Macaca mulatta: one gene and its partner. Each later gene encodes a partner of the first gene's protein in a complex. Links are inferred from orthologs where the notes say so. Each region holds a gene or a part of one and is shown on either strand. Other genes may lie near its edges.

Evidence for each region. The genes of interacting proteins can lie anywhere in the genome.
Region 2: CDHR5 (region 1) and MYO7B share a complex: the UniProt entries of both Homo sapiens proteins name them as parts of the IMAC/intermicrovillar adhesion complex. The link is inferred for Macaca mulatta from reciprocal best matches to the Homo sapiens genes CDHR5 and MYO7B.

Annotation. Positions count from the first base shown.
Region 1 is NC_133419.1:517,265-521,313, reverse strand, and holds the start of CDHR5 (cadherin-related family member 5), read left to right. Parts: upstream 1-1,249; 5' UTR 1,250-1,337; coding exon 1,338-1,422; intron 1,423-1,512; coding exon 1,513-1,688; exon of another isoform or gene 1,689-1,701; intron 1,702-1,958; coding exon 1,959-2,009; intron 2,010-4,049. UniProt on the Homo sapiens protein: Intermicrovillar adhesion molecule that forms, via its extracellular domain, calcium-dependent heterophilic complexes with CDHR2 on adjacent microvilli. Thereby, controls the packing of microvilli at the apical membrane of epithelial cells.
Region 2 is NC_133417.1:9,752,228-9,756,260, reverse strand, and holds the start of MYO7B (unconventional myosin-VIIb), read left to right. Parts: upstream 1-1,233; 5' UTR 1,234-2,623; intron 2,624-4,033. Other genes in the region: protein IWS1 homolog, read right to left, coding at 856-889. UniProt on the Homo sapiens protein: Myosins are actin-based motor molecules with ATPase activity. Their highly divergent tails are presumed to bind to membranous compartments, which would be moved relative to actin filaments.

The sequences.
Region 1 (4,049 bases):
TGTCAGATGGAAGGGGGCCCCATCCACCCAGCCGGGACTGTGACCACACCCAGCTGCCCTTTACACCTGGCGGCCACAGCGGGCCCCTCATCCTTATCTCTGGCATCAGTGCCGCCTCCTGTACATCGACTAAGCACCGCAGGGCCCCGCCCCCCCCTTGTCTTCATTAGGAAACAGTCAAGGGCTCAGGGGAAGCCCGGACAGACTCTCAGCTCCTGCAGGGGGGTGGGGGGTGGCGTGTGGTCAGTGTTTCCGGAAGGGGCAGTGGGGAGGGTGTGGAGGGGCCAGGGAGGCTCAGGCGGGCAGGAAGAGGGGAGGGCAGAGGTGTCACCTGGGGTGCCAGGAGTCCACTCTGGCATGAGGACTCCGGACCCTCTGTCTTGTGTGGCCTCAGACCAGTGGCTTGACCCCTCAGAGCCTGTGGCGTATGGAGCGTGCAGGGCTTGCAGGCGACCATGAGGGTACAGTGCAGGGTTGGGACACTGAGCCCAGCCCCAGCCACGAGAGGCCAGAAGCTTCGGTGCACAGGCCTGGAGAGGAATGACTCCACTCCCCGCCTCACGACAGCCCCTTCCTCGCCCTGACCCCAGCCAGTGGCCTCTCCCTAGAGCTGGGGGCTTGCGGGGGCCAATGAAAAGAGCAGGGCAAGTGTCAAGACTCACCTCACCCCCTCTGTTGGGCACCAGGGCTCCCCAGGAGCTCCCAGCTGCCCCCCACAGCCCCGCCTTAGCCTTGGTCACTAAGGCCCTGTCCAGCCCCACCCTGAGAAGCTGGCTTGTCTCTGGGGCAGGCAGGCAGGGGTGTCCCTAGGACACAGTGAGGAGAGTCTCTTCCTGCAGAACCTGCCATCAGGCAGGCAGGGAGGTACTCCCGGGCGAACACCCAGGTTCTGAGCCTCAAGGGTTGGCCTTAGGAATTTTGCCTGAGGTAGAGCTTAGGGGAGGAGCCAAGCAAGGGCAGCCTGGGCTAGGGAGGCAGGTTTCAGACACCCCAACACCAACGGCTTCTCTCCAACACCCTAGCTCTGCCCCTGCCCTGCCCCAGCCCCATGGCGCCCGTGAGCCATTCTCTAGTCCTTTCTGCCCTGTGCCTCGGTGCCTGTGGCCTGAGCCCCCTGGTTAATCCCTGTACTCAGTCTAACTTGGGCCAAATGACTGCCCCCCTTCTGGCAGTGGGCCGGACCCGCCGGCCAGCGGGAGCCCCCTTGGCAGAGGCCGGTTGTAAAGGATCATAAAGTGGGCGGCGTCTGGCTGGGGCGAAGGTCGCTGAGGTAGGAACTGCGCCAGTCCTGGACGCCAAACCCACTCGGACCCTCCCGCCAGGTGACAGCCGCCAAGATGGGGTCTTGGGCCCTGCTGTGGCCTCCCCTGCTGCTCACGGGGCTGCTTGGCCGACCCCCGGGGACCGTGGCCCAGGTCCAGTGTACGTGCGGGCAGGGGTAGGTAGGTGGGGGCACAGGGCAGGGGGAGCCAGGGGCTGGGAGGCGCTGACCCCTCCTCTGCAACCTTACAGACTGCTCTGTGAACAAGTCCTTCTTTGAAGTCGAGGAGAACACAAATGTCACCGAGCCGCTGGTGGACATCCATGTCCCAGAGGGCCAGGAGGTGACCCTCGGACCCTTGTCCACCCCCTTCGCATTTCGGATCCAGGGAAACCAGCTGTTTCTCAACGTGTCTCCTGATTACGAGGTGTGGGCGGCAGGTGGGTGGGGAGTGGGGGCTCCCAGGAGAAGGGCGCCTGGATCCTCAGGCCACACCTTCCCCGGGGGGCCCAGGAGTTCTATGCCTGCAGGCATCCACTAACACCCATGCTTGGTGGTGCCTGCCCCAGAAGGCTGGGCCCACACCCTCAGCACTGACCACTGATGATGGGGACCCTGGGCCAGCGCCTGCCCCCTTGGCCTCAGTCTCACCACCTGTGGGGCGGGACAGTGACTGCAGACCCGTCTGCCTCCACAGGAGAACTCACTACTTGAGGCTCAGCTGCTGTGTCAGAGCGGAGGCACACCGGTGAGTCCCTGCCCCACTCTCCCCGCCCACCAGGCCACCTCAGCTGGGCTCTGCCCTGCCGGTCCAGGGCCAGTCTCTGATGACCTCACCTAGGGTGTGGTTTCACATGCCATCCCTCCGAGAGTGATGCTCACATTTCCTCCAGTCCAGACTCTGCCCTGAACTGTGGCATCCCCGTCACTGATCCCTTGTCCAGCAGATACCCCCACCCAGTGTGCCCGACTCCCACCCACTCCCTCAACCACCACTGCCCCCACAAGGGAGGCACCTTTATCCTGCCAGCCACTGGAACCACTTTGGTTTCCACTCGCCCTCCCTCCCCACGTCCCCCGCTAAGCTCCCCATTGGTAAATCACTTGGCTCTGCCCCAGCTCGACCCAGAAATCCATCGTCTGCCCACCTCCAGTCCCACCAGGGCCGGGACACCAGCACTCATTTTGGGAAACTTTCAGCCGGCCCGCTGGCTTCCCTGTTGCCCCTTGCCGGTCCCAGTCCACTCCATGTGGCGGAACAGCCTCTGTGGACGCTGTAAACCAAGGCTGCCCAGTCCACCCCAGCCCTCCACAGCTCCTTTCTCACTGAGAGTCAAACCCAGATGTACTGTGCGGAGGCTCTGCTGCAGCCTCAGAGCTCCCGCAGGCACGCTCCTCCCCCACCTGCTCAGGTCTGCAGTCTTCAGAGAAATCCCAACCGCCCTATTAGGGAATAGTTGCATCCCAGCCCCGCTCCCCCAACATCCTACTTCTTGACCAGCGGCATTTTTTTCGGCTTTATTAAGGAAAATTGCAGAATCCTGAGGCCAGCACAGGCCCCCGCCCCCCCCCCCACCTACCAGCAGACAGAGGGCTCTGTGCCCACCGCACACCACAGCACATCACCCACATATATCTTGGCATGTGTCTCTGAAAGAGAGGGATGCTTCTTTTTTTTGAGACAGAGTCTCGCTCTGTTACCTAGGTTGGAGTGCAATGGCGAGATCTCGGCTCACTGCAACCTCCGCCTCCCGGGTTCAAGTGATTCTCCTGCCTCAGCCTCCCGAGTAGCTGGGATTATAGGCGCCCACCACCACGCTTGGCTAATTTTTGTATTTTTGGTAGAGACAGGATTTCACCATGTTGGTCAGGCTGATCTCAAACTCCTGACCTGGTGATCTGCCCGCCCCAGCCTCCCAAAGTGCTGGGATTTCAGGCATGAGTCACTGTGCCTGGCCGGGATCCTTCTTTTTTTTTTTTTTTTTTGAGACGGAGTCTGGCTCTGTCGCCCAGGCTGGAGTGCAGTGGCCGGATCTCAGCTCACTGCAAGCTCCGCCCCCCAGGTTTATGCCATTCTCCTGCCTCAGCCTCCCGAGTAGCTGGGACTACAGGTGCCCGCCGCCTCGCCCAGCTAGTTTTTTGTATTTTTTAGTAGAGACGGGGTTTCACCGTGTTCGCCAGGATGGTCTCGATCTCCTGACCTCGTGATCCGCCCGACTCGGCCTCCCAAAGTGCTGGGATTACAGGCTTGAGCCACCGCGCCCGGCCTTTTTTTTTTTTTTAGATGGAGTCACCCTCTGTCGCCCGGGCTGGAATGCAGTGGCACGATTTCCGCTCACTACAACCTCTGCCTCCCAGGTTCAAACGATTCTCCTGCCTTGGCCTCCACCCACCTCGGCCTCCCAAAGTGCTGGGATTACAGATGCCTGCCACCACACCCAGCTAATTTTTGTATTTTTAGTAGAGACGGGGTTTCACCATGTTGGCCACATTGGTCTCGAACTCTTGACCTCAGGTGATCTGCCCGCCTCGGCCTCCCAAAGTGCTGGGATTCCAGGCGTGAACCACCACGCCCGCAAGGACTCTTCTTTTTAAAACATAACCACAATGTCGTCACACCTGGGAAAAGTGGTCACTTTCTACCTCGAATGTTCAGGATGCCGCATTCCCCATGGTCTCTGAAGGGTTTTTTTTAACAATTGTTTGTTTGAATCAGGGTCCACGTTATGCACCTAGCTGATAATTCTCCTGAGTTTCTGTTCATCTTCACGTTTCCTTCTCCCATCTT
Region 2 (4,033 bases), on another chromosome or scaffold:
ACTGTCCTATGTAAGGAAAAGCAATGAACTCAAAACAGTAAAGAGCTTAACGCTTAAACCATTGAGAACTCAAGTTTTTTTTTAATTTTTTTTTAATTTTCAATTTTTGTGGCTACATAGTGGGTGTATTTAAGAACTTTTGAGACAGAACCCCCAATACAACTAGCACACAAAGGGAAAGCAAACCCCACGTGTTTCCCACACCAGGTTCTGCTTCACTTATCCTTAATCTCAGGTGCCGAGCACCGTGCCAGCAGAGTGGGCCCCATTAAGAGTTTACAGAATAAACAAACAGTAAAGAAAGGAGACCAAACTTCGGTGAGGAAGGTGAGGAGAAAGAGGAACCGTCTCAAGGTGGAAGAAAGGCACAAAAATCACAAGTGCCAGAAGTGCATTCCTTACTCTATGCATGCATCTGAAACATGCGTCCTGCACTTATGTCCGGTGTTGCAGGCAAGATTAAACCACTCCCTTAGGAGTGAAAAGTGTAGGAAGGATCCCCCGCCCCATCGCCCCTTGGATTCTCCAACTACTCAACTACTGAAAACTCTTAACAGAAGATACCTCTCCTTCCCTAGCACTTTGCACACAATAGGAGCTTAATATACGAAAGTGACTTCCCAATTTCAGCAAAAACCTTCGCCGATTCAGAAGAAAGCTTTCCCACCAGAATCCCGTCTCCAACGTTCTAGCTTCGAGGCTTGCAGCCGGTCAGTGGGCTCTTGCCCTCCTCGGGCCGGGTCGCGGGAGGGAAGGTTTCGGGGGCCTCCTTGCCCCCACCCGCGGGGTGCCAGGCCGAGACCCGCCGAGTAACTGCTCCGCCCCCCAGCCCGGTCCCCCAGGTCCCTGCCCCACCTGATTGGTCGCCGCTGTAATATTCCGAGTCCATGGCAGGCGGACTCTCAGCGGGGAGTGTCCGCGCCCCGCGCCGCCCCCGTCACCTCCTTCCAGGCGGTGTGACCCCGGAAGGCGCGGCTGAGTGTTCAGAGACTCCCGCCCGACCGGAGAACTTAACGGGTGCGGAGAGTAAGAAAGCGGCAGCGGCAACGGCGAATGCTTTGACCTGGAAGCGGAGGCAGGCTGGCAGGCTGGCAGGCAGGCAGGCACGCGAGCCGGCGCTCTACTTCCTAGAAGCACCGCTGGGGCCAAAATGGCGTCTGCCCACGACCCTCAAAGGAATGCAGCGCGCAGGCGCCGCAACCCGTCAACCGGCCAATGAGAAGACGCAACAGCACTGACGCCAAGGCACGGCCGGAAAGGAGACTCCTGGGAAAACTGAGCTGGAGCTCGGGCTTTAATTAAATACCTTGCTCGGGTGGATCCCGGTCTGGCCCCCGTGGAAATAACGTTATCGTTTATTCTTTATCATTTTCTAGATTCTGTGTCCGTGCCTTGTTTGAAGAGCTTTTGAGATACTCTTCCGAAAAATGAAGACCCGCTCAAATGACTTTTCCGTCATTCAGCCAAACCACGGTGGTTCCCGTCAGGCCCCGAGGCGCCTCGTTCCCGCCCGCAGTAGGCGAGAAAGCGAGCGTTGCTCCCTGGGACTTGTAGTACGACGACCGCGAGCTGTGATGCGTTACTAACTGGCGCGAGCCACGGCGCCTCCTCTCCCAGCGTCTTCCTCTCTTTCATCCTTGTTAAGAAGCTATTTGGCCAGCAGTAAGAAGTACACATCTTTGCTTCCAGAAGGGTTCCCCTGATGAAACACCGAGGAAGGTGAAGTTGAACTTTACCTGAGCCCTGTGTTCCTAGAAAACAGCGGTGATTAAGAAACCCCTTCGTCTATTTGTGTGTCTGGAACGGCACACTGTGAAGAACCACCCATCGCCACGTGACTCGGATAAAACGCGTGCAGATGACCCCCTTGTTTGCCTGTGACGAGGACAAACAGACCTTTCCCCTTTATTCTGAGCCTGTTAATAAAGCCAGACAGACCTTAAATTCCTGCTGCTGATAATCGAGTAATTAGTTGAGATTAGAACACTCCCCCGACCCCAAACTAGTTAGAGAATATTTTCTGTTCACCTGACTGAAATTTATCCTGATTGCAAAACAATCCCAACTGTCAGTCATTCCACCTTCCTCCCTATAAAAGGCAAAACTGCGCTGCCAAGACACTGATCGTCTCTGGAGTGCTCTCCCTGTTGAAATAGGCTGAGTAAAATCTATTTCCTTACTTGTTCATTTTAGTCTTGGACAGGGAGGGGAACATTCTTGACTTTTGATGGGAGGAGGGCCAGTAGAGGTTTAAGCAAAGATTCCCCAGGAGGTGTAGACATGTAGAAAAAGAGCGTTTTGTTACTACTACAGATATCTGACCCTTCGTTAGCCAGTCAGAGTATGCTGGCAGAGCCCAATTATAGGCTCCTGAAGAGGACGTGGGAAGAGAAGAAAGGGGAGAAGTGGTTTCTCTCTGGAAATTCCCATTTTCCTGCAAGAGAGTTCACGGATATTCTTTTCCGATGTGGTGGAAACAGCATGGAATCCAAATTCCTTATTTTCAGCTGTGGGAATGGCAGCTTCTCAGGCAGTCTTGAGAATCAGAAGAACAAAGAATGAGCAATGCCCGACACCAAATCACTTGATAGAAGATATCAAGGCTCTAAGCCCTCTTCTAAAGGTGAGAGTATACCTGTGTAAATGTAGAGTACACCTGTGTAAATGGAGCAGGATTAAAAGATGAAAATTCCAGGAAGAGTTTCGGTGGAAGAGAACCTTTTAGTTTCACCAGAGATGTAAGTCCAGCAGTCAGGAAAGTGGTTGGGTTATAAACAATGCAATTGCCAGATGATAATTACTGAATTTTAGCGTTAAAACTAACTGTACTGGTGGTTTGGAGAGTGGATAGAAACACTCTGGACACACAACAATGTTCTTAGCTCTAGAAGGCTGCAAAGAAGCATCAGATCTAACTTTTGTACTCAGAAAGTCAACAATTTAGTAAGACAGGACACCTCTTTCAAATGAATACAGAGCCTTAGTTAAAGCAGTGTGTTTATCAGTGGAAACACAGCTTACTGAGAGTTCCCAGAGCTCCTTCCTACCAGCTGGCTGTCCCTCCTGGATGCTGGTAGAGAAATTCTGTAGTGGCACAGATGTGTCTTTCTGAGTCTTGGCTGCCTTACATTTTCAGGACTGCCATCTCCCTACCCCTCACACCCCACCCCAGTGCAGTTGGCCCATGGCGGTGATTGGGAGGCACTCAGAAGAGAGGCTGTTTCCCACACCAAGGGTGCTAAGGACAGAGAAGGATGGAGGGGCAAACTTGCAGCAGTCCACAATGCTTCCTCCCTTAACAGATAACCCAGAGACACTGCATTCCCTAAATGAATGTAAGATGTATTTGGAGACACTCTGAAGACACTGCCATCTGCTGAACACGTAAGGGAGCAAGAGACCAAATAATATAAACAACAGCCTGGGAGCAAGAGACCAAATAATATAAACAACAGCCTGGCACCATCAGAGCTGTAGACTGGGGGCTTAGAGCCCTAGGTTGTGGCCCTATCACTGGGCTTATTGTACTTGGTGAGCCGGGACAAGCTACCAGTCTTCTATGAGCCTCAGTTTCCACATGTATCAAATGAGAGGGTTGAATCAGGTTTCAAGTCCTCTTAGCTTTTTTCTATGTCAAAGAAGCCAGGTCTCTAAGTCTGACCCAGCTTCTTGTGCTTGAGCCACTAGCAAGCCCTACCAGGGAAGACACAAACGAAACTTACTAGCTGTGTGACCTTGAGCAAGTTGCTGAACCTCTCTGTGCTTCAACGTCCTCACCTATAAGTTGGGGATAACAGTACCATTTATGTCACAGAGTTGTCATGAAGCTAAACGCACATATATAATTATATAATATGTTATAATTATATATATTACATGTATAATATTAAACATGATATATATAATATATATATATAAAATGATTCCTGGGACAGAATATTGTGAAATTAAATAATTCAAACTTTTTTTTTTTTTTTTGAGATGGAGTCGCGCTCTGTCACCCAGGCTGGAGCACAGCAGGTTGGAGTGCAGT